Nothobranchius furzeri: one gene and its partners. Each later gene encodes a partner of the first gene's protein in a complex. Links are inferred from orthologs where the notes say so. Each region holds a gene or a part of one and is shown in the gene's direction. Other genes may lie near its edges.

Region 1 (8,276 bases):
GGCAGCTTGCCATTTCTTGTTTGTTCCGGTGATGTGACGCTGACTCTGATGGCCACTACTGCGCATGTGCCTCGAGCAGGACAGAAAGCAGCAGTTTTGTTGCAGCAGGCAAGATGCAAAAAACATGCTTCATATAATAAACGAGATCAGCTATTAAATGTATTGACCTTTTTTGTTTGTCAACATCGTGACGAATCGACTAATCGAGGCAGCACCCTCATCTATGGTCACGAACTTTGGATAGTGACCAAAAGAACATGATCGCAGATACAAGCAGCTGAAATTAGTTTGTTCTGCTGGGTGTCTGCGCTCTCTTTTAGAGAGTGAGAAGCTCAGTCATCCGAGAGGCGCTCGGAGTAGATCCGCTGTTCCTCCATTACAAGAGGAAACATTTGAGGTGGCTTGGGCATCTGGTTAGGATGCCTCCCGGCCACCCCCCAACTGGGAGGAGACCCAAAGGAAGACCCAGGACACAATGTGAGACCTTGTTTCTTGGCTGGCCAGGCAAGGCCTTGGGATTTCTCTGGAGCTGGCCCAAGTGGCTCAGGGAAGGGAAGTCTGGGCCTCTCTGCTCAGGCCCAAACCCAAATAAGCAGAAGAGGATATTGTTTCAATTGTCTCCCACAAAAGTGGTCTCCAACCCTGGTCTTTGAGGGCCCTTGTTCAGAATCTTTTAAGTGTTTTTCCCGCTCCAACATGCGCGGTTCAGTGGTTGAATCACCTGTTCAGAAGCTCATCAAACTGGTCCTCAGGGAAGGGAGTTGGAAATCACTGTTGTACAATGCATAACCAGGTTTCCATGGTCTGCAGACCTTGGTGGTCTGACTGGTGTGTTGCAGACTAACATGTCTCTTATGCATTGTGGTGCCAAGCTATTAAGTTTTTTTAATACAAGCAGTGTGATTCTGGTATGATTTCTTTGTTCCTTTAAGAGCAGCATGTTGGGAGCTGGAACTGTGTACTTTGGGAGGCCTCTGAAGAGGCCATTGCAGTAATCTAAGCTACTGGTTATGAATAAATGAGTTTGTTATTCCGATGTCAATTCTTGATACAAAGTGTTCAACTTACTGCTTAATTCAGGTGTCTTGGAGCAGAGAAACGACTAAAACATGTTGCGTGGTGGCCTCAGAGTACCAGGATTAGTCACCACTCCCCTAAAACTAATGGACCCTAAAAGCACTACTCCTCTACCTCATGTCATTAAAACCAAGTCCTAACGTTGATACATTCTCGTTTAAACTTGCGCTGTTTCTTTTTTCTCTCTGTCTTCCATCAGGAGCTCGGCTTTGCTTTATTTGCTGCCCTCTGCGAGGAGGATTTAATCTACAGCCGATCCGTGAGTCAGTTTGAGTAAAGCTGCCCTTTAAACCTCCCAAAGACTCTGGTCTTGGCCTCGGACTGAGCAGGCTGTCATCGGTCGGATACCAACCATCAGTCCCATCTGCGTTGGAAGTCTGGAGCTCTGGATTTGATTAGATGCTCTCCAGTGAGGAAGAGGACAAATAGGCACGCGTTGCCATGGTGATCATAGCTCATCTCTGCCCGAAGCTCCTGGATGGTTGCGTAGAGGTCTTCTAAAACCCACCCTCCTGCCTAGAAATCAAAGACAAAATAATGTAGAGGAGTTGCTGTAGGTCTGGGCTGGTGGAAACTCCTACAGCGGTGGAACTGGATGGAATCCAAAAAATAAGTTTTGTACAAAAAAAAAGACTCAAACACATGACAGGTTACACAACGCAGAAATTCTCAAGTCCAAAGGAGTTGCAAACAGACTACATGCACACTTACAGCTAACGTTCCAGTGGCTCCTCTAGAACCATCTACACACACACACATCAACTCATCAATATACACGATGAGCTTTGTAAATAGTGTACTATACCTTTTGTTTCTTCTCATAGAGGGTTTTGGCTTTATTTGTTTGTTCAACATGCCTTATTTTGTATAGTTAAGTCTCGAATGGCTAACTGAAAATGTTCTCAACAATGAGTGTTAGTTGGAAACCACCTTGTTAACTGTTTTCTGTTGGCTTAAAGAGCTGCGATGCATAAACCTCATCCATCCACTCACCTTTAGTTCTACACACACAGAGCAGGAAGTGTTGACTTTCTTTTTTTTTTAAATCTTTTTGCTGGTGGTAGGCTTTTGTTTTCACTAAAATGGAGAGTGAATTTGTTCAGATTTAGGTGATTTTTGATGGTGCAGGCTCAAAAAGAGCTGGAGTCTGTGCAGTGGAGCTGAGCTGATCGGGGCAAATTGGTGTCTAATTAGGATCCTAGTTAAAAAGGCAGTTGGGGTAAATAAGTTTCCTTTTTGTTTAACACTCCAGAAGATTTGGTAAGAGATGCATATATTGTCCTATAAGGACAAGCTTTATATATTAATCACATGAATTTTGACAGATTAATTGGGTGGTGAACATCTTCAATAGCACTGAATAGGAGTTAACCAGTCCATTGTGTAAGCCTGAACTATGTTTGTCAAATTACATTTTAAAAAAAGGGTTTTTTGGTCACGTATTAGGTTTTTGTGACATTTATAGCCACACAATTGGCTGTTTCTACCACCTATTAACCTTCTAATAAATGCCCATGGAGGTCAAACTCATCCCAGCAAGACTTTGGTACGCCGCGACACTTTGAGATTATAAACAAATCTTGGACAAGCTTTTAACTATGCAATAAAGTCTAATTTGCCTACAAACCCCTGTTTTTAAGCTGAATATGTGAGCTTAATCATTGCTCAGTCTGCTTTTCTATTTTACTGCACTACAAAGGCTTTTATTATCACGTTCACTAGTTTCTGGTTCAAACACAACTCACTGATTGGTGCACGGGTGGATATGAATTTGCAGAATGGTTTGATGATAATTTTACTCCGGTCAGCTCAGCTCCTCTCTAACAAGTCTGTAATTGTTGTTGGATATAACAGCATACTTTATATTTGATGAAACTGTTTCAGAGAAGAACAACAGAGCTGTGTAAATAGTTTGACTCATGTTTGAAGAACAAAATAAATACTAAATAAACCACATTTATCTGTCAGAACTGTTTATTTAAAGATTTAATTCTTGCGAAATATTTGCATATCAAAATGTATGAAAAAAAATGTTAGAGGAAAAAGTCAGATTTTTTGTCTTGTTTATTTTATTTTTTGAATGTCATTTAGTTTATTAAAACGTATCACATTCACATTAGGTGTTCCTAACATCCGTAAAACAACTAAATTGAGCGTTTTCTTAAGCGAATATAGTCTAAACATGATTCATTCTCCTTTAGGAAGTCCACTAATTATGTAACCTGCTCTAGCAACGTTCTAAAACGGAAGTCTCGCGATACTTTAGGACACATGGCCGCCTACGGTGTTTACAACTTCTCGCAATGAGCTGCTGAACTGACAACTAAGTTATCTACCTCTGAGACCTCGTCTAGTTTTGTAGAATTTGTTTTCGTCTAAAATTAAAAACCGCTGAGTGGAAAACAGCGAAGCATCAACGCTCAGGCGAAGCACAACGCAGGTAGGTAGCAACAACCCGTTAGCTCGGTCAATGCTAACCTGAGCAAACACAGTGTAGCGGTCTCTGTTAGTGGTCCAAAACGTGACTCAAAGGTGTTTTTACTTTATTTACATGAATGTTGTGGACTTGAAGTTAAATAGACGACGGCTGTTGTAACAAGTTGTCGGGTTTGCTAAAAATGAACACGAAGGCTCGTTAAAGTAGCTACAGGTGTTGGAACATCCGTGTTTATGCCTCTTTAATTTTATAATTATTATAATTAAGGTGCACTAATGATGAAACTTTGTATAAAAGTTAAAACTTAAAATTTAAGTAGTTGTAGTCGTCACAAACTTCACATACGTTCAACCCGACCTTTCCATGCATTTTGCTATAGTAACAGATTACGTTTCTAAAATGTTAGCTGGTCTTTTAAAGTTAAAATAATTGTATAAAAAATAGCCTTTCTCACGCTCTTATTTTGAAATGGTCAGTTTTCTAGAATCTGGTCTGGAATCACAATCCTGTTACCTGTTTATCTCAGGTGGGTGATGTCATCAAACCCCGACAGACTCAATCGTCCACACTGCAGGAAGAAGCACTATCCTAGTAGCACCTACCTCACCCACGTCTGACAGCACTCTCCCAGCAGGACAAAAAGACACCAGACAGAGGAGGACAGAGACACAGCCATGTCTGACTCAGCCGGAGGTGGGGAGGGTGGAGGCCTGGCGGGTGCAGACTCTGAAGCAGACAGCGAGCCCCCTCCACAGGCCTCACTGAGACGTTGTGAGTCTGTAGAAGTCGGAGAGACTTCAGAGGAGGGGTTCCCACCTTCTGCCAAACGGTCCAGGAGGAGTGAGGAGGAGCTGGGACAAGATGCGGTCCCATCACAAGGTGGTGTGTTAGAAAACCCTGCTGCATCTGCACAAAGTAAAGTCCTGTTCATATGAAGTTATACACATTAGAGTTGAAACTTACATATATCATTTATATAGTTTCTTCTGTTCTGTTTAAAGCAACAATAGAACAAAGGTGTGAGGAGGAAGAGGGGGCTGAGGAAGACGTGGCAGCAGGTCATCTGAATGGAGCCAAAGCTCCTGATGATGCAGAGGAAACTGAGACAAAACCAGAAGAGGAGGAGGCGCTCAACGAGAATGAATCTGTAGGCAGCCCTGCTGCAGGACAGCAGTGAGTTCAAATAATGTTTTATTTTTCTGTTTTCTTAAAGCGAGGGTAACGATACAGCAGACTAGGGCTGAAACGATTCCTCGAGTACCTCGAATAATTGGAGTACAAAAATCCTCGAGTCAAATTCTCTGCCTCGAGGCTTCGTTTCATTCATGTTTAATTAATTCATGGCTTTGCAATCGCCCGGGGTCATGTTTCACCCAGACCGAAATAAGTGACGCACATACATACTGCACTGAATGCACACGCGAGTAGCGGACGCTACTGAACTTTCTTTTAAGCCATGGCGAACAACGTGGACCCCGGTGGAGTGCGAAAAAGACAGAAAATGTCAAAGGTGTGGGACCATTTTTCACGTCGTAAGGCGGAAAACGTACTCTAGTTTAAAAACTGTAAAATGGATTTAGCCTACCACAACACCACATCCTCGATGCTGCAGCACCTGACCAGGAAACATCCACATGTAAATGTCACTTCTGCAAGCGGACTCGGAGCCTCTACAAGATAATGCATTTTAGCCTGTATTTCTATATATTCTGCAGACACTGTGACTTTTTCGTTTGTAGCACTCAGTTTCAGCTCACACCGTGCGTCTGGTAGCAACACGTCGGTCTTAAAATGTGCTAAAAATAGCAGTTTTTACAACACGTCGGACTTTTTATTGTGTTGTTATTGATGTCCGTTGTCCCTCAGGATTGCTGCAGGAGGACACGGGTATTTATGAGTGGCGGAGGAAAACGAAAGAAAGTAAATAAATGTTTTGTGAACAGTATAATTTGACATAACAACGGCAAACATGCTTTCGACAATCCTTGTTATTGTGTGAGACAAAAAAGTGTAGAAATTAAAACGGACGGGTGTTAATAGGGAAACAGCTGGCGAGCCATGTTTGCGCATGCGCCGTGAGCGGTTCTGGTTCTGTTTGGGCCGCAGCCGCTCTCATTTGTTTACAGTTGAAGTGCTGAAGTTTTGAAAACTAAATTTGAATAAAACTTGAAGAATAACTGGCAATTGCGGGCTCATTTTAAGAGGTCTTTCATATTTTATAACATGCTGTTTGATATAATGGTTTACAAACGCAAAAGGGTAATTTATTAGAGTACTCGATTAATCGATAAAATATTCGATAGAGTACTCGATTACAAAAATATTCGATAGCTGCAGGGCCCTACAGCAGACCCCAAAAGGTTAGATAAAAACATTTGACTGGAAAAAGCTCACAAAATGTCTGAGAGAAATAATTAAATTGGTCGTTCAAGAAAATATTTCAGAATTATGTTATTTTTTTAAGCAAATCTAATAAAAATGTGTTTTTAAGCAGAATTTTGAAGTTAGTGTTTTTGTTTTTAACAGGGTATCTGCAGGTCCTTAAAAAGTCTTAAATTTGCTTTTCTACATTTAAGGCCTTAAAAATCCTTAAAAATGACAAATAATCCTTAAATACAGTTTCCAAAGGTCTTAAATTACCAAAGACCCAATGAACAGGAATTTCTAGTTAGTCTTCAGCATTTTTTGTGTATGATGTTGGCGTAAGCGGAACCGTACACATTCAGTTGGTTGTGAAAGGGGGCCATTTTTGGATGAGCACATTAGCTGGTTAAGCTAGTGGGAGTTTGTGCCACGGGGAAGTGCAAGTTTAATGGTAACTGGGTGGGTAATCCCACGTTTACAACGTGGTTAGCACTGGTTCCAGACAATAGCTGGAAATTATAGCTTAAATTTAATTTTAAAAAAATTGCTTAAATTTGGTCAAAGTTTAAAAAGGTCTTAAAAAGTCTTAAATTTGGCTCCCTTAAACCTGCAGATACCCTGTTTTAACCTGCTTAGTTGTAGCGCACCCATTAGGCCGCAGTGAAGATTTGTAGTACGTTTGTGAACAAAGCCATAAAAAGTTGAGTCAAAAACATCACAGAGCAAATAAAAAATACAGGCAAACATATATAATCAAATAAAAATGTTGGAGATGAGAAGTACATTTTTTGACTAAATAAAACAAACTTTAGTAACACATGTTTATTATTGTTTAATGTATTTCTGTTTCTAAATGCTCTTATTTTGAAAGGGCATTTGTTAAAGCGGTTGTTTTCTACAAGATGCAGCTCTTTTTTTCATGAGTAACAGAAAATCAAACAAAGTGCGAGTACTGGTTTCCAGCTGAACGGATGACTTTCCCCTGGATCATTCGTTCCACTCAGTTTCTGCTCGCTCTCGTCTCTGTTCTGCTTCCAGCCTGGGTTTGGACTTCACCCAGAACCCCACCATGCTGACGGGCTCCTGGAACGAGTACTCCAACTTTCCAGAGAATTACCTCAAAGGCTGCAAATGGTAACCTCACTGGTGTTTAATTACTAAATCACACGAGTAAAAGTTCATATTTGTATAAAATCGGGTTTATTTTGGTTGTAGCTGCATTATCCCTGAGCTTTGTTCTCTGCTTGTGTCATCCCCCCCTCCTCTTCCATCATCAGGGCTCCTGATGGCTCCTGTATCCTAACGAACAGCGCAGACAACGTCCTCCGTGTTTACAACCTCCCGCCAGAGATCTACAGCTACAGCTGGGACCTCCTCCCTGAGATGGTGAGCTGGGTTTCTGGGTAGAGAGCTTTAACTTCTGCAGAAGCCTGTTGAACACCTGCTGTTTTACATCAGGTGTGCTGGAGCAAAGTCGCATCTAACACATGGAGAGCAGCAGCTGTCGAGGGCTAAGATTGGTCAAACCCTTGAGGAAATGTGTGGCAGAAAGCAGTTCTTACATCTCAGTAGAAACACGGAGGCTGTGCTTTGGTAGTTTAGGATCGCTGAGCAGGAATAATTGACATGTAATCCATTTTCTTCCATCCCAGAGACTTCAGATCCTGTATTATAAGGGTGGAAAACGTATTTCTCTACCAGCCCTTTTGGGTTTTACTCTTATTAAAAATCTGTTATGTTGTCTTTAAACTGCTGCTTGAAAAATTTACAACCCTTCATCTCTTTTAAGGATTTGGTTTCCTGGCAAGGACGGGATGTAAATCATCAGCTTTTCCTGCCCAGAAAATGATTTATGACGTGTCAGCTGATGGTTATTTAGGGGAAAAGATCCAATAATACGAAACCTTAAATGGATCATTAACTCCACATAAAACACCAAAAAACTCTGGACTCTTGGTTCTGTGATTGTATTAAAGACGTTTCTAACTGGTCTCCAGTTTGACCAGTCGAGTTCTGACTGTGGTGCGTTTAAGGAAGCAGATTTCCATAATGTGCTTCTCTGTGAGTTACCTATGAGCAACTTAGCTTATCTGATTATTAGGCATGTTCCGATCCGATCATGTGATTGGACCTGATTTCCGAGCACGTTTTTTAATGGATCGGAATCGGGTTGGAAAAATTGGATTTAACCAAGTAAAAAAAACAAACATTCATCCATCCGTCCATCCATTTTCTTATGATTATCCGGAGTCGGGTCGCAGGGGCAGTAGCCTAAGTCAAGAGGCCTAGACCTCCCTCTTCCCAGCCATTTAGTCCAGCTCCTCCGGGGGAATCCCAAGGCGCAAGGAGCAGCGGGTCTACTCCGAGCCCCTCCCGGATGACCGAGCTTCTCGCCCTA
Region 2 (8,193 bases), on another chromosome or scaffold:
TCATGAAAGATATAAGTATGTGGAGTAACCGGGAAGGTAGGTTTTAACGTTGCTAATCTGCAACACCTGCCTCCAGAGGGTTAAAGCCACTCAGTGGCCTAGTGGTGGGGTGTCTGCCCTGGGACTTGGAGATGGGAGTTTGATTTCCGATCGGGTCGTACCAAAGGCTTTAAAAATGGGACCCAGCACCTCCCTGCTTCACACTCAGCTTTGAGGGGTTGGATCGGGGGGGTTAAACCACCAAACCGTTCTCGAGCACAGCCACCGCTACAGCTCACTGCTCCTCTCCATGGGGACGGGTCACGTGTGGAGATGAATTTCACCAGTGTGTGATGATGACTTTGGGACTTTAACTTTAAATCTGCCATCGCTGTTGTCTAAGAGGTCCAGTGTTTCCCAAACTTGGTCCTCAGGGACCACTGTCCTGCATGTTCTCCATGTTGTCCTTTCACACACCAGTGTGTCTCTGCTGCCACACACCTGACTTAAAGGCCCAATGTGTGATATTTCATCTTATAAGTTATCAAATTTCTTGTATCACATTCTCAAATTTGTTTTTTTTAATGATAATTCAAACAAGCATTTATTCTAAGCATTATTATTAGCTTTATATTTTAATATTTTAGACAAAAGAAGCAGACCGGTGCTCCATATGGCATGCGCCATCTTAAAATACAGTGACCTTTTAGGGACATACAACATATTAAGCTTCGCATTTGATGTTTGCGTTTTTAAATGATGTAACCTCAAAGAAACAGCAGGGGGCAGAAGTGCGCCTTGTAAGCTTGCAGTCTGACAAAGTAACTAAGAAGAAGAAGAAACTAGCCACACCGTACTTCTAGCGATGGAGGATCACACATATTCTACAAGCAAACTTGAGAAACGGGATAGTTTGAAAGCGCTTGAAAGCGCCGATCTTCTAGACTTTATTGCAGCTCTGCCTCTTCCTCTTGTGCGTGGGACGTTGCGGCTGGTTTGAGCAAATTCGGCTCCTTCATCTTGGGATGCTTGCCCTGCTTCTGTCGCATGTCTAACACCTCTGCCTCTCTGTGCGCTGGCACACGTCTGTCCTCGCCCTCTTCCTCTCCCTCGTCCTCTGTCTGTCTCCACTGATGAACCATCGGATGATGTCTGACTCTGTTTACGGAGAGAAAACAATTACAGACTACACTACCTTGTATATTTCCAAAATGGCAAATAGAAATATAACATTTCTCAAATAAAATGAACAAAATATTGTCATTTTTTGTAGTCTGAAGTCATCACTAACTAGCTGCCGTTTGCTATTAGCAAACATAACTGACATAAAAAAGTTTTTCTTATTCAAAACCTATTTAGATTAAATTAATAAAATAAGTTAGATGAAAACAACTAACCTGTTCGCTGACTTGAAAGCTGGAATTAGATGATGACATGCTGCCGTTTACAGCAACACGATTTTGTATTGTATTTGTTATATTTGTTAATAAAGTTTTAAATAATGATTAAAAAAACCTTTTTGATCCTCGGGGGCTCCAATAGCTGCAATACCGACTCTAAACTGCGTGGTGCTAAAGAGTCGGATCTTTTTACTATGATTTCTGTGAATTTCACACAAGGGGCCTTTAAATGAAGCAGTGATTAACGGGCATCTGCAGCACTTGATGTCCTTCTGAAGAGCCGATGTAAATCAGGTGTGCTGAAGCAGAGACATGGACAACATCCAGGACAGTTGTCCCTGAGGACCAGGGTTGGGACACACTGAGGTACACTATGACATAAGCTGGTACTATATGATGTCACAATGCTGTTGTGAGCCTGTGTGTTTGTGTGTTTGTTAGTGGCTCCACCCTCTCACTCTGCCAGGCAACAGCATTTGTTGCACTTTTCAAACAGGAAGTGGGAGTGGAGTAAGCCTCTGGTAGGGGGTGACTTGCTCTTTAATGAGTTAACTAGCAACATTTTACAGATAATAATTATTGCTGTGTGGAATTTGTTGCATCTTTAAAATGCTTCGTAACATTTTTCTCACACACATTCCACTAAATCAGAAGTGAGATCAAAGAAAAGGTTTTTATGTGAGGGCGCACGGTGGTTGGGATGGGTAGCGTTCTGTCCACGTCCGTCACGGGCTGGGTGGGGGTTGAGCGGGTGCGCTTTGCCGACCTCCGGGGAGGCTTGGTACTGGAAGACAAGATGAACGGCTCTCTACAGAGACTCGGCTCTCATTGTTCACTTTGAAAACCAAAAGATTTGATTTGCTCGTGAATGTCACATCACTGCAGATAAATGAGTATGGAAGAAGAGGACAGAGCATCGTTCTTCTCCCAGACGGAGCAATAATCATACATTTGTGTCTCTGAGGACTACAAAGATGTCAGAACTAAAACAGACCACCAGCTGTTTTACATCCAGTGGTCTCCTTTAAAATGCAGCTGAACGCTCACCTGTTCAGGTGCTGCTACCTCTTCTTACTCGTTTTCTTTCTTCCCTCTCATTTTTATGTTAAATTTTCCATTTTCACAATTTATTATGTGTTTTTAATCATGTTTTAGTTTTGTTCTTGTGAAGCACCTCTTGACTCTTATCTTCAGAGGTGTTGCCCTTGTTCAGGCTGGCTTTTGTGTGACCTTCTTCACCACTCTCTTTATTCTGCTCTCCCCACCTATTCCACCTTCCTCAGGATCTTTCCCTATCTATTCACTCTCTCTCTCTTTCTTTACATTTTTTTAATCACAATTGTCTATTTTTTGCTCATTTTAAACATATTTTAACCATTTTCTAAATTATTTTTTTATGTTTTACACTTTTTTTTGTGAAGCGCCTCGTGATTTTCATCCTGAGAGGCGCTATAGAAATGATACTTTCTTCTTCTACACACACACACACACACACACACACACGCACACGCACACACACGCGCGCGCGCGTCTACAGGCCCTCTGTAGACTTTGCCGACATTTCCGCTCCTGGCCGCCGGGGGCGCTGTGGTCCAATGGTCCTGTTAGTCCGGGACAAGAGTTAAAACACGTGCGTGCTGGGTGAAAGCAGAAAGCAACAATCGGTTATTGATTATCAGAGATGACGAAGACGAAGAAGGAAAACGCGGATCCAAATGATTCGGTCGCATCGGCCGGTGGTTCCGAGAGGACCTACCAGGAGCTGGTCTCCCACCTGAACCCGATCTCTCAGCCGCTGGCCTCCAGGAAGCTCAGCAAGAAGCTCTACAAGTGCGTGAAAAAGGGTAAAAGACCACCGAGACCCGTTAGACCGGTGCTTGTGTCCCGCTTCTTTACCCGGTGTTTTGATTTCAGCTGCTAAGGTGAAGAACATCCGGAGGGGCGTGAAAGAAGTTCAGAAGTTCATCAAGAAAGGAGAGAAAGGGTGAGTTAGCTTCACGGTGCCCGGGTCCGTCCAGAACCTCAGTCCCCATTACTGTAGTGGTCCGGTCCGTCACTGTTTTCTGTCCCTCAGAAGAAGTTCCGCACTAATTTTTTTTTTATGTATTTAAATGTGAACATTATTCAGTTTTAGCGCATTGAACCATTCAGGACACCGTAGTCATCCGCGCGTTAGAACCTCACCTGTGCTCACCTGAACCCGGTCTGGTCTCTGCAGCATCGTGGTCCTGGCGGGCGACACGCTGCCCATCGACGTGTACTGTCACCTGCCCATCATGTGTGAGGACAGGAGCCTGCCGTACGCCTACGTGCCCTCTAAAACGGTGAGTGAGTGGAGCTGGGGTCAAAGGTCAGCAGGTGTTGTCAGGATTTCAGATTTCTCACACGTCAGTTTTAACCCTTGACTTCAAGTAAAACACACATTCTATGAGGTAAAGGGCTGGTGTCGTGGTTTTTAGATTCTGATTGTGTTAAACGTTATTATTACTATTATTATTACTACTATTACTAGTACTATTATTATATATGATATATGTGTATATATGATCCAACGGTTTTGATCTAAATCAGGGCCGTGTGCATATCTGGTCCATCTACACCGGGGGGAGGGGGTTCCACGTAGTGAGCTCAGAACGTCAGCGCTATAATGAATCCATGCTTCCGTACCACCAACGATGCTCGAGTGGAATCATCTCTATTTAAAGCAAGGCCCACAGGCAGACCCTGTTAATCGATACTAGATAAATGAGAATGGAAGAAGGTACAGAGCCTCGTCCTTCATCTGGATAGAGGAAGATTTACGAGGACTACAAAGACATCAGAACTAAAACATGCCACCAGCTGTTTGATCAAAGCTGGATAGCTGGAGTGTTTACAGGTTTCCATGGCAATGCCGAAAGTCCGCCTCAGCTCTGTTGCTGAGTTTTCATCATTTATATGTTGTTATCATGTTCTGCTCCAGGGTCTGGGTGTTTACAGTCTCGAGGACGTAGTTTTTGCTGAGCAGTAGTGGTGGTCACGTGACCTTAAAGTTGCCCGTTTGTCACAAGTATGTTTATGTTTATTTATTTGGCAGACGCTTTTATCCAAAGCGACTTACAATTTATAACCTATAGGGCGTGTTGTGATCTGTGGGGGAAACCGGAGTACCCGGAGGAAACCCGCGCATGCATGGGGCCAGAGTACAGCTTTTAACGCAGGGCTACTCGGTTAGATTTTTTGTTGGGCCAAATTATCATGAGGCTTTTGCCAGCGGGCCGTACATTTCCCCGTATCTCATATTTACCTATTAAAACAAAGTGCCGCTGCATTTTCAACAGTTTTATTGAAACAAGTCAAATGACATTAGGATTAACTGCTGGTTTTTAGTGAAAATAATAGAAACTGCAAAACATAGCCAACTCTGGTTTTAACAGAACTCCGAGTCACAAACTCAGTTACAGTACTTGTTTTCGCTTAAAATAAAGCCAAGAAAACATAACCAGCTGTAGTTTGACTGAAATCACGGTCACATAAAGAACACAGTAACGATAATTACAATGTCTTTTATGCAAATAAGAACAAACAAAACTTTCAATTAAATCACAAAATTAAACTACTGGCTTTTAAAGCATATAAATGAAAGAAAAGTCTGAGTCAACAACTCATAGTGACAGCACTTGCTCTGTGCTTAGTAAAGCGTAGAAAACAACCGGTTTAGTAGGGCTGGGGGTAAACGATTATTTTTAAAACGATTATTCTGATGATTATTTTATCGAATAGTCGACTATTCTAATGACTATTTAGAAAATTAATCTAATGATTATTTTTCTATTGCACAATTAACAAAAACCAGAAAATCTCAAATAAATTCCTCAAAAAAATTGATAAATTCTTACTGTAAGAGAATAAACACTACAGGCCTTCCATGCTTTTATTGTGTTGGTTGGTTATGTTCTGGTGACGTGTAGAACTTGGGAGTGCAGGCTGCTGCCTGAGAGGTGGTAGAAGATGGAGTGTCTCCATGCTGCTTTGTTTTGGTCACTTATGTGCGTGAGGCGAGTGGTCTTACGGGTTAAACCAAACTCAGGTGATATTTTACACTAAACCGAAAACCCACAACACTCTAAATGTAATAAAAGGGAGATCTGCACCACAAAAAAAGATGAACTCTAAACCAAAACGTAACAGCTTATCCCAACGCAAGAAGCTGTTAGCGAAGATGCTAACAGTAGCTTTACCAACGTTAAGTTCAAGTTACCAAGTTTAAATAAACCAAAAACACCCAGCAGCAAACAGACCAGCATGGAGGAGAGACCGTTACCACCAAAACAGCTCTCCTCATGTCTGAAAGAAGCTCCTTAATGAAGGGAGAAACGCTCCCGGTGATGTTCTACATCTGCGATAGACACGAAGCAGCGCGTCTGACCCCGGAAGTTGTTGTCCGTTGCCGGGAGACGAAGGGGCAAAACAGGAAAGGAATCTAGTAGTGGACGGACGTTGTTCCGGGTCTTCGGTATTTGGCGGAGATGTTAGTGAAGGCGGAGAAGAGGGCGAACTAGAGGAAAAACAGACAGATTCCTCCTCTATTTACAAACTCCTGGGGATGCAACAAGTGGGCGCGGTGCGTCGACTACCGGATCTGACGTCGACAAATTTTTAGAATCGAGCCGTCGACGTCGTCGAGGCTTCGCTACAGCCCTACGGTTTAGTTTGACTGAAATCCCAGTAGCAGTACCTAACATATTTTTTGTGGAAATATCACAGTCATAAACTAAAACGGTAAGAGCAATTGTGCAAATAAGAACAATCTACATTTTGAATAAAATAACAAAATTAAACTGCTGGCTTTTAAAGCACATCAAAGGAAACAATAGTGTGTTTGGTCCTCATACTGCCGGAGACTGATCGATCTCTAATGAGAAAAATGACACTTGACTGGGCAAGATGAGAAAAGTTAGGCTCGTGTGGGGTGACGGCGATCCGCAAACAATGATGCAGATGCTCCTTTGTCAAGGACATTCGATTCTCTGTTTTTATGGCGTTCATGTGAGAGAAGGCTGATTCGCGTGTTGACCCAAACATTGTTAAGACACATATGGCCAGTTTTTCCATGTTTGGGAACATCTCTGGGACAAAGCTTGGCGCAGCCTTTTTCCTGAAGGACATCTTTGAATTCCCCTGATGCCTGTATTTCATAGGGCTGTAGCGAAGCCTCGACGACGTCGACGGCTCGATTCTAAAAATTTGTCGACGTCAGATCCGGTAGTCGACGCACCGCGCCCACTTGTTGCATCCCCAGGAGTTTGTAAATAGAGGAGGAATCTGCCTGTTTTTCCTCTAGTTCGCCCTCTTCTCCGCCTTCACTAACATCTCCGCCAAATACCGAAGACCCGGAACAATGTCCGTCCACTACTAGGTTCCTTTCCTGTTTTGCCCGCCCTCGTCTCCCGGCAACGGACAACAACTTCCGGGGTCAGACGCGCTGCTTCGTGTCTATCGCAGATGTAGAACATCACCGGGAGTGCTTCTCCCTTCATTAAGGAGCTTCTTTCAGACATGAGGAGAGCTGTTTTGGTGGTAGCAGTCTCTCCTCCGTGCTGGTCTGTTTGCTGCTGGGTGTTTTTGGTTTATTTAAACTTGGTAACTTGAACTTAACGTTGGTAAAGCTACTGTTAGCATCTTCGCTAACAGCTTCTTGCGTTGGGATAAGCTGTTACGTTTTGGTTTAGAGTTAATCTTTTTTGAGGTGTAGATCTCCCTTTTATTACATTTAGAGTGTTGTGTAGGGTTTTCGGTTTAGTGTAAAATATCACCTGAGTTTGGTTTAACCGCCCAGTTTAGAGTTTGGATCCCTACTTATTTGTACTTTGTTTTAATTCCCCACAGGCAGAATTAGTTTTATTATTCCCAACCTGTGGATGGAAAGATTTATGGTTTTTTTGCAGTTGTAAATAAACCTGATCATCATTTTAACTTTTAAATCCCGTTATTGTCCCTTCCTTTTTGCACACGAGCTAAACTCCCCAGGAAGAGTCGTAAGACCACTCGCCTCCCGCACAAAAGTGACCAAAACAAAGCAGCATGGAGACACTCCATCTTCTACCACCTCTCAGGCAGCAGCCTGCACTCCCAAGATCTACACGTCACCAGAACATAACCAACCAACACAATAAAAGCAGTGTTATACAAAATGGAAGGCCTGTAGTGTTTATTCTCTTACAGTAAGAATTTATCAATTTTTTTGAGGAATTTATTTGAGATTTTCTGGTTTTTGTTAATTGTGCAATAGAAAAATAATCATTAGATTAATTGTCTAAATAGTCATTAGAATAGTCGACTATTCGATAAAATAATCGCCAGAATAATCGTTTTAAAAATAATCGTTTACCCCCAGCCCTAGTATTTCAGTCATTTCAAGTCGCAGGGGACCTTCATCAGTGCCATGTAACTCCAGGAACGCCGCTGTTTTGGGGGAAGTATTGGGCGTGCTGGTGAATGGGTTCCTCGCGACATGCAGCAACTCTTTGGGAATGTCAAAGTCAGAATCTCTGAGCAAAGTTGTGTTTCAAACGGTCCAGAAAGTCTGACACGACCTTTGTGACTTTACCACATTGTGATGACTTCATGAAGCCACTGAGGGTTGGAAAATGCAGCAGTCTGCTACTGAGATCGGATGAAAACATGTCTAGTTTATTTTGAAAAGCAGTCAGTCTTTCAACCACATCAGCAACTGTTTCATCTCTCCCTTGAAGTCCCAGGTTAAGTACACTCAAATGATGAAAAATATCACATAAAAACACATCTCAGACACAAATTTATCATCCAGCATGTT
Region 3 (7,953 bases), about 3.5 Mb from region 1:
CACTCTTCGTTACGGTCGTGTCGTCTGGGAGGGTGAACGTGTTGTCCAGGATGAAGCAGCAGTACGGACAAGCGGTGCTGCGGGTTTTAACCGGGATCTTGTTCTCTTCGTGTGATGGATGCATGTTGTCAAGGAGACGGTCAGCTTCCTCCTCCAGGAACGGTGACTCCACCAGGGGGCGACACAGATTTTCTTGTGATTTCTCGTGGGAATCTTGTCTGTTCAGGTGTGGGTTTGGTTCTGACTTGATGCTGAGAGGATCGGAGTTTAGGTGGGAAGAGGTCAAATCAGGAGGAGACTGTGGAGATGTTGTCACGGTGACGGGAGGTGGATCTGAAATTGACTTCATGTTCAAGAGCACAAAAAACAAGAAAATGTGCACAATTAAAACAAAAAGACCTGATTTAAGATTAAAGATATATTCTCTATCTCTTTTAGTTTGAAACCAACCCAGGTAATCTGCTGAGTTAGACATTTCTGTCAAATGTAAATAAAAACATGAGATGAGTTCTACTTTACAATAAAGCTCCATTAGAAATGGCTAATAAGGAGATGATTGTCTTTTCTTACCAATAAATAACGCTTAAACATTTATTAAGTGTTAAATGTGTATTATATCTATAAGCCATTCATAAGGGCAGCCCTACTCTAACATGGTCCTGTGAGATCTTGTCTAAAGCTTCTGTTACCTCCTGCTGCTGCTCCAGGGCTGAAGACAGGATGGAGTTCAGGAAGTCAGGATCCAGGCTCCACTCCAGCTGAAGAAAACACACCAACAGTTGTAAAAATAAGCAGCCTTTTACAAATGAAGGCAACCTATCCTGTTGAGGACTGATGTCATTTTGAGATAAAGAATTAAACCCACAGTTTGGACTAAGTCCTCGTGATGACCTAAGTCATCCAGGTACTGCAGACACAAGGTGTTTTCTGCTGTTTCAGTCTCGTGTCTCTGGTCTTCTCCCGTGTCTTCTGTGGCCTGAGGTTTACACGACAAATACTTATTAAAAGGGGATCACACATGTTTACAGATTACTACGTGTTATCTAGAGGAATTAGGGATGTAAGAAAATATCGATACTCTGAAATATCGCGATATCTTGTGTTATGACACGGAATCGATAATTAGAAGAAACATGTCGATTTTTTTGTTGAGAATTTTTACTCAAACGTTTACTTTTTGTGTTTTAGTTAGTGCAATTCAAACTCCAACTGCTAGGTGGCAGCAGATTTTACAACCTTCAGTCTAAAAACTACGAATATTGTTTGACTTTTAGGATCACACAATATCGTACATATACATGAACACACACACACACACACACACACACACACACACACACACATGTACATACACTTGAAAACAAAAGCATTTTCAACCTCAGAACAGAGGGACTTCAGGGCAACCATGCAGTCCTCACAGGGTTCAAACTCGAGGTTTTTCTCCCAAGAGGACGAAGGTCCTGGAGGAACTTTGAGGTACTTTTTGAGGTTTTGTAGTTCTTCATTCTTGTTAGGCGCTTTCTGCTGTCCATCTGTGAGGGGAAGGACGCACGGCCACAACTTGACCATAAAACCTTATTATTGTAATTATTTATACTTTTCTACATAAATTACTGACGGCTGACCTTGAGTTCCAACCAGACTCTTGTCCAACACTGATGGCGGCGTCACCGTTTTATCCAGCAGTCTGTTTTGAATCCTGGAGTCATAAATGTTCAGTTAGACTCTGATTTTACAGTTGGGTGCAAGATGATGCCTCTAGACTCACAGAGCTGAGTTGTGGGTCTGCTGGACAGGAACCTGGGTTAGGCACCAGCTCATAGGTTGGATGAAAGCAGGGAGGAGACCAATGCCACTCCAACAGAACCCCTGTGGGCTGCTGGAGGGAACCAGCATACACAGAGGAGGTCTAAAGGGAGGTGCGTGGGAGATGAAGCTCCTAGTGGGCCTTTGGGAGGGCTGAGGAGCAAAGGGACTGCAAGTGATCAGTGTAGAGTTATTCTGGACCCAAGAACAAGGTGGTAACACCATCAGGTTCAGTGGAGACACCAAACAGCTGGGGATCAGGCTTGGATCTGGGTTCCTACAACTGGCTGAACGATGCAGTTGATCAGGTACACCCATCCATCTGTGCAGCTCTGCTGCAGTCAGAGACTGGGAGCTTTCACGACTTGTTTGTGGAACAGGGTCTGCCGGCCTTGTGGGTCTCGGCTCGTTCTGTGAAGAACTTCCTCCAGAATCATCTGAGATGAAATCAGGGAGGGAACACTCCTCGAGATTCATTGTGGAGATGCTGAAACTGTTGGACAAAAGATGGAAGTTACCTCAGACAACTTCTCAGCATGTAAATGACTCCCAACATAAAGTTAGAGTCTGCTGTGAGGTTTTCTGTTCCTATCTGTGTTTTCAGGGGACATTTTAAAAGGAAACACATGTGAAGGAAGGTTTTGGCATGAAAACCTGTGCAGAACCAACCCTCTCTCAGACTTAGGAGGCTGCTTTTAAGTACCAGAAAAAAATAAACAAAGACAACAAGACTGAAGCAACAAGTACTTTGTAACACCGCACACTCGGCTAAGGTTGCAAATATCTCCTCTGACTTGGTTCTTTAATTGGTTCTTATATTAATTTAAAACAGCAATTTGAACATATTTGTTTCACTAGATAGGCTTAATGAAGAAAAATAAGTGTTCTCAGTGGAAAAAGATGTACCGGTAATAATTTAATGAATGAATTTTCATGGACTTACCTTTCTCGTTTGACATGAGTAGTTTATGGTGAATGCTGCAAAAACAGATTCCAACTTTATGTCTGTTTGAAAGTAAACATCATTATTGTTTAATTTTGAATGTGAGCTTTTGGATTTCATAATTCTGGAAGAACTGGATTTAAAGAGCAAGTCAACCCGTACCAGATTCTAACTCCACTCCCACTTCATGTTTGAAAAATGCAACAAATGCTGTTGCCTGGCAGACCGAGAGGGCGGAGCTGCTAACAAATACACAAACACACAGGCATTGTGACATCATAACGTACCAGTTTACATCATAGCATACCTCTTAGCCAATAGCGGTGGCAGATTTAAATTAGAATACAGTGCAGAATTTTTACCTGACAACGGCACAACACTGACAGTTTTAGGCAGAATATCTAAATTTTAACTAAGATGCACTGAAGTGCCAAATTATTGACGGCACATGTCTGCAGCACGATTAGACACTCGTTTATTTAGTTTATCAGCAAAAAAAGTTTATTTGGGGGTGACTTGTTCTTTAAATAGTTTTTATATTTTATTTGTTTTATAGCACAGCAGAATTTTCATGCAGATGTTCAAGAATGTGTTTGGTTGTTTTGGTTAAAAACACATTGTGTTTTGTTTTGAAATTGGACCAGTAAAAGTTACTCTGTTACTGATTCAGCTAAGGGCCAAAATACTTTATTTGTTCTCGGAAGAAAATTAAATGTTGTAAATCGATATTCAGAAACAATAATTATAACAATCTAATAAATATTGTTATAATAATAATCATCTCATATAATTCAAGATTCTTCAAAGAGTTGTTATAGATGCTGGTGGGTCTGTAAAACGTTGAGAGGTGGTTAGAATAAAGCATAAAAGTTCTGAAAATGCACTTTTATTAGTGTGTGATATTCAAAAGAGCCTAATTTGCGAGTAAACTCAGTTCCCCATGATTCCAAGCGGCCTGATCATTAAACCGGATATCCGACTAGAAAGTTCGTTGCACGTGGATCCACGTTTTCTAGCTTCCTAAAATAAAGTTGGATTTTTTAAAACTTATAAAGCTTCATATCAAGACTTTTCGTCATGTTTTTGCAGTTTTATCTTAACGAGTCTGGAGACAGAGTATATACTCTGAAGGTAATTTGTGTGTGTTGTTCGTAACATGTCTTCTCTCCTATCAGTTTCACGTTTTAGCTCATTACATTTAAATTTATTTTGTTGGAAAACGAAAAGTAACATCACGTGGCTTCTATTAAAACATAAAGGAGCAAGTCAAACCAAAAAAATCTCAAGATGTGTTATTCGTGTTGTTTTCACGTTAGCCTCACATGTAGCTAACATTGATAGCAACTAGTATCTAACATGGATAGCAGCTGAGCTAACAAAGCATGGCAATGCCGCTTTATTTATAAAGGCTACTTCATACCAGGCAATTCAAAGTGCTTTCCATGTGCAGCCAGCAAAATAGCGGCGAACATGGACAGTTGCAATTAGTGGCTAACGTGGAAAGCTTGTAGCGAACCAGTATAAACACAAATAGTTATATCCCAGATCGCCTTTGTGTGTTTTTGGACAAACACATTTGATTTTAGCTTCTGATTTATACCATATAAAAATCCTTTGCTTTTAATACGTCAATAACCGAAACGTAACAGTTTAAATTAATACGTCAATAACCGAAACGTAACATAGTTTAGTGAAAAATGCGTAAAATTTAGTTTTTACGCATGAAATAAAAAACTCTTTACATGTTTTAAAAGCTGATTGTACTTGCAACTGAATAGGTTATTACTGTAAATCAGAGTAGTGTTACAAGAAAATGAATCAAACATATGTTAGTGAGGGTTTATTTTATTGTATACCATAATAGCCATCATATTCTAAAAGGTGAATTTAGGTGTTACACTTAATTTCATCCACGTATCTTATTTCGTTGGTGAAATGTAAAAAAAAAAAGCTGACATATGCCTTTATTTTTCAAATCAGTGTTCTTCCCTAATGCACACATATTTCCCTTCATCTTTGCCTCCAACAGAAGGCATCTCCTGATGGGCAGCCCACCAGCTCTGCCCATCCGGCTCGTTTCTCTCCGGATGACAAGTTTTCCAGACACCGAGTGCAGCTGAAGAAACGCTTTGGCATTCTGCTCACCCAGCAGCCCAGGCCAGTCCTGTGAGGGAGCTGGAAAGAGTGGAGTGAGGAGGCATGGATGGATGAAGAGCTGAAGATGGCAACATGGATTTTGAAAGGACACTTGGTGTGTTGGACTTGCTGGTTTGGATCGATTACATGAGGTCTTTAGATTTTAGTAGAGGTTATTGTCATTTTTTATGCTTAAAAATGTTTGATGAATTTTCTTGAATACTGTTTGAATTCAGGATTTGATGGCTAATTCTCCTTTATTGCATACATTTAAACAAGTAAGGTATACTTGACATTGTCTGCAGTAAAATAATACTATGTTAGCTCCTATAACCTCTATTTGTATGCCAGTTTTATTTTGGGGGGGACGACGACATATAAGAAAATTTGAGTAGAAATAACATTTATTGTGAATATAAACTAGAATTTGAAATATAAGGTGTTTACTATTCAGTCATGGTGTGTAATTTATGAGCTGCAGACAGTTTCCCAGAGGTATTTTTGTTTGTGCTAAATGAATCTTGACTATTCACAAAACACTCAGTCAGTGACTGTTGAATGTCATGTTTTGGTTTCAGTAACATCTTGGACTAACTGAAAAGACAAAATGAACAGTAAAATAATTAACACCCTCAAAGCACACTTGTTATTTTGATCCATGTACTCAAAATACCCAGTGAGTGTTAAAATGTTGTGTTTTTAATGAAAAATTGCATCATTTTTTTCAACCTTTATTTTTTCCAGATAGTGTTTGATAATATTCTCATTTACAAACATCACCTGTCCGAGGTAATTTTGAGGTGCAGCGGAAAAACATTAGCTCATTTCAGCTATGTTGCTTTTTCTTAATATTGTTTAATTCGAACTTTATGAGCTAATATTTGCTAATTTATCAGTTTGAACATTTTAATGTGAAAATCTATTTCCGCGTGTTTTATGTTCAATATGAACTCATCCTTCTTGATGCAAACTGGTTTTGTGCTAAACTCAGGAAACTTGCTAAATTGTTGGAATAAAATAACGTAAACAACTTGTTTACGTAAAGACCACATCTCCCCTCACTATTGTCACTGAGTAAAACGACGCATGCGCAAACTTGCAACGGCAAGGGAACTAGGACCTGACGGGCTCACTTGCGTGAGTGTTTTTGGTGGGTTGCTTGGACGAAAAAGTGCAGAGAAAAAGCAGCACAGATGTCACCGGGAACTGCCGTACCCAGTAATGTTGTCTGAGGGAAACGTGAATCAGGTATGAGTTTGACCGTGGTGATGTGTGACATTTTTCACGGGGTGAAATTGTCGTTGCTGCTTGAGTGCTAGCTGGAAGCTCCGGAGGAGTTGACTGTTTATTATTGGCAGCGTGGCTAACCACCGGCTAATGCTAGCTGGAGCGCCTGAGACGGAGCTCCTGTGCCGATACCACACCTGTGTGTACCTGCTTCTGCCCGCACCGCACGGCGTTTAAACCTCTCATAATCTAGCATTAAGAACGGAAGATAAAACAAGTTTGTCCTAAAATGGGCTAATTTTTTTTTACCTCGCGCGCGCCTGATTTAAGCCGGTTTGAATGTAATAAAAAAAAACTCCCATATCTGCAGAAGGGGATAAAACACTGTTATCGCCATTATTTTCCACTAAAATCATTTTAAAGCTGGTTTATTTCTGTTTTGTTTCCAGCTCAAGTGTGTGTCATAACGTTCCACTGACCGGTTCGAGCCAGAAATATTATGGCCACTTTAATTGGCTTAGGATGGCAGCTGAGTAGCGGTTTGCATCATATCTAATTTGGACTTTCCTTATATTCCCATCAGGACTAACAACACTTTCTGTCGTAATTATTACAGATAAGTGTACAGATGTGTTTTTTCCCCATCTGCATCGTGTAATAATCATCGATTTTAATTTAAGTACATTTACGGCTGTTTGACAACGTCTGATTTAATCTTGGATTCAGTCAGGTGTTTAGTGTTGTTTTTAGTTTGGAGGTTTTTGGAGGCTCTGTTTAAAAACAACAGGCCTGGTATGATTTTACACATTGGTGATGCTGCAGGAGAACTGCATATGAAAAAACAAGGATTATGTAAAATATGCTGAGAGATAATCTGACGTGAACACCGTTTCCTGTAGAAATCGCACAGTCTCCTGTATCATCCTGCCAATTGGTTGTTTATTTGTTGTTATGACAGTATTTTAGCCGAAATCCTGTTAATTACCTGTCTGGAATAATTTAGTCTCTGTGGGGCAGAAAGTGGAGCAACTTCCTAACCAGTCACACTGGCTTTCCTCAGTCGGTAACTAGCTGTTTATGATGATTCATATATGTGTGTGTGTGTGTGTCAGGGACACACAAGTCAGTGTAGAAATCCCAGAATGCTCTCGAGTGGTCAACAAGACTAGAGCAGCGTTTAAAAACTACACTAATCACTTATTTTTCCATTTGCCTTAAGCAAACTAACCAGGAGTTTGTGCCAAATGTTGCTGGAAGTTTAATAATCACCCGCTCGTTCTTGGCAGGGTGATATTTTAATGTCTGAGCTAAAAAAATGGGCAGATTGCTGTAGAAATATTTGCCTCATGTTGAGATTTCTTTTAAAAAATTTTGTTATTTACAAGTTGCAGGTCAGCAAATGCATTCAAAATCAGAGATAACTGAGTCAATGTTAAATGCAGTTTAATAAGGATGATTTTATTTATTAGAACAAAATATATTTAATCCAGCATGTGAAAATGTAAATGCCCCATGTTAAATGGTGAATTAACTGTCATTAATCACATGATTTGGAGTCCAGAGCCGCACTCAGACTTCATTACTACAAGATTAGAGATCACTTCATTAGAACCTTCTTGGGGTCACAGTAGGTCAGGAGATAGAGTGGTTGTCTAGTAATCAGAGGGTTGTGGGAGCAATCCCCGCTCCTGGCAGAGAATGCTGTTGTGTCCTTGGGCAAGACACTTAACACACCTAGCCTGCTGGTGATGGTCGGAGGGACCAGTGGCGCCTGTGCCGGGCAGCCTCACCTCTGTCAGTGCGCCCCAGAGCAGCTGTGGCTATGATGTAGCTCATCACCA

What was found.
Region 2: wrap53 (region 1) and nhp2 share a complex: the UniProt entries of both Homo sapiens proteins name them as parts of the telomerase holoenzyme complex. The link is inferred for Nothobranchius furzeri from reciprocal best matches to the Homo sapiens genes WRAP53 and NHP2.
Region 3: wrap53 (region 1) and nop10 share a complex: the UniProt entries of both Homo sapiens proteins name them as parts of the telomerase holoenzyme complex. The link is inferred for Nothobranchius furzeri from reciprocal best matches to the Homo sapiens genes WRAP53 and NOP10.

Annotation. Positions count from the first base shown.
Region 1 is NC_091742.1:83,815,662-83,823,937, reverse strand, and holds the start of wrap53 (telomerase Cajal body protein 1), read left to right. Parts: upstream 1-3,305; 5' UTR 3,306-3,517; intron 3,518-4,040; exon of another isoform or gene 4,041-4,148; 5' UTR 4,149-4,188; coding exon 4,189-4,429; intron 4,430-4,515; coding exon 4,516-4,687; intron 4,688-6,916; coding exon 6,917-7,012; intron 7,013-7,155; coding exon 7,156-7,264; intron 7,265-8,276. UniProt on the Homo sapiens protein: RNA chaperone that plays a key role in telomere maintenance and RNA localization to Cajal bodies. Specifically recognizes and binds the Cajal body box (CAB box) present in both small Cajal body RNAs (scaRNAs) and telomerase RNA template component (TERC).
Region 2 is NC_091750.1:25,732,971-25,741,163, forward strand, and holds the start of nhp2 (H/ACA ribonucleoprotein complex subunit 2-like protein), read left to right. Parts: upstream 1-2,947; 5' UTR 2,948-3,060; coding exon 3,061-3,223; intron 3,224-3,293; coding exon 3,294-3,363; intron 3,364-3,563; exon of another isoform or gene 3,564-3,597; coding exon 3,598-3,703; intron 3,704-8,193. UniProt on the Homo sapiens protein: Required for ribosome biogenesis and telomere maintenance. Part of the H/ACA small nucleolar ribonucleoprotein (H/ACA snoRNP) complex, which catalyzes pseudouridylation of rRNA.
Region 3 is NC_091742.1:80,331,949-80,339,901, forward strand, and holds nop10 (H/ACA ribonucleoprotein complex subunit 3), read left to right. Parts: upstream 1-3,698; 5' UTR 3,699-3,826; coding exon 3,827-3,880; intron 3,881-4,778; coding exon 4,779-4,919; 3' UTR 4,920-5,522; downstream 5,523-7,953. Other genes in the region: uncharacterized protein, read right to left, coding at 1-343, 690-758, 866-976, 1,378-1,532, 1,626-1,699, 1,769-2,283. UniProt on the Homo sapiens protein: Required for ribosome biogenesis and telomere maintenance. Part of the H/ACA small nucleolar ribonucleoprotein (H/ACA snoRNP) complex, which catalyzes pseudouridylation of rRNA.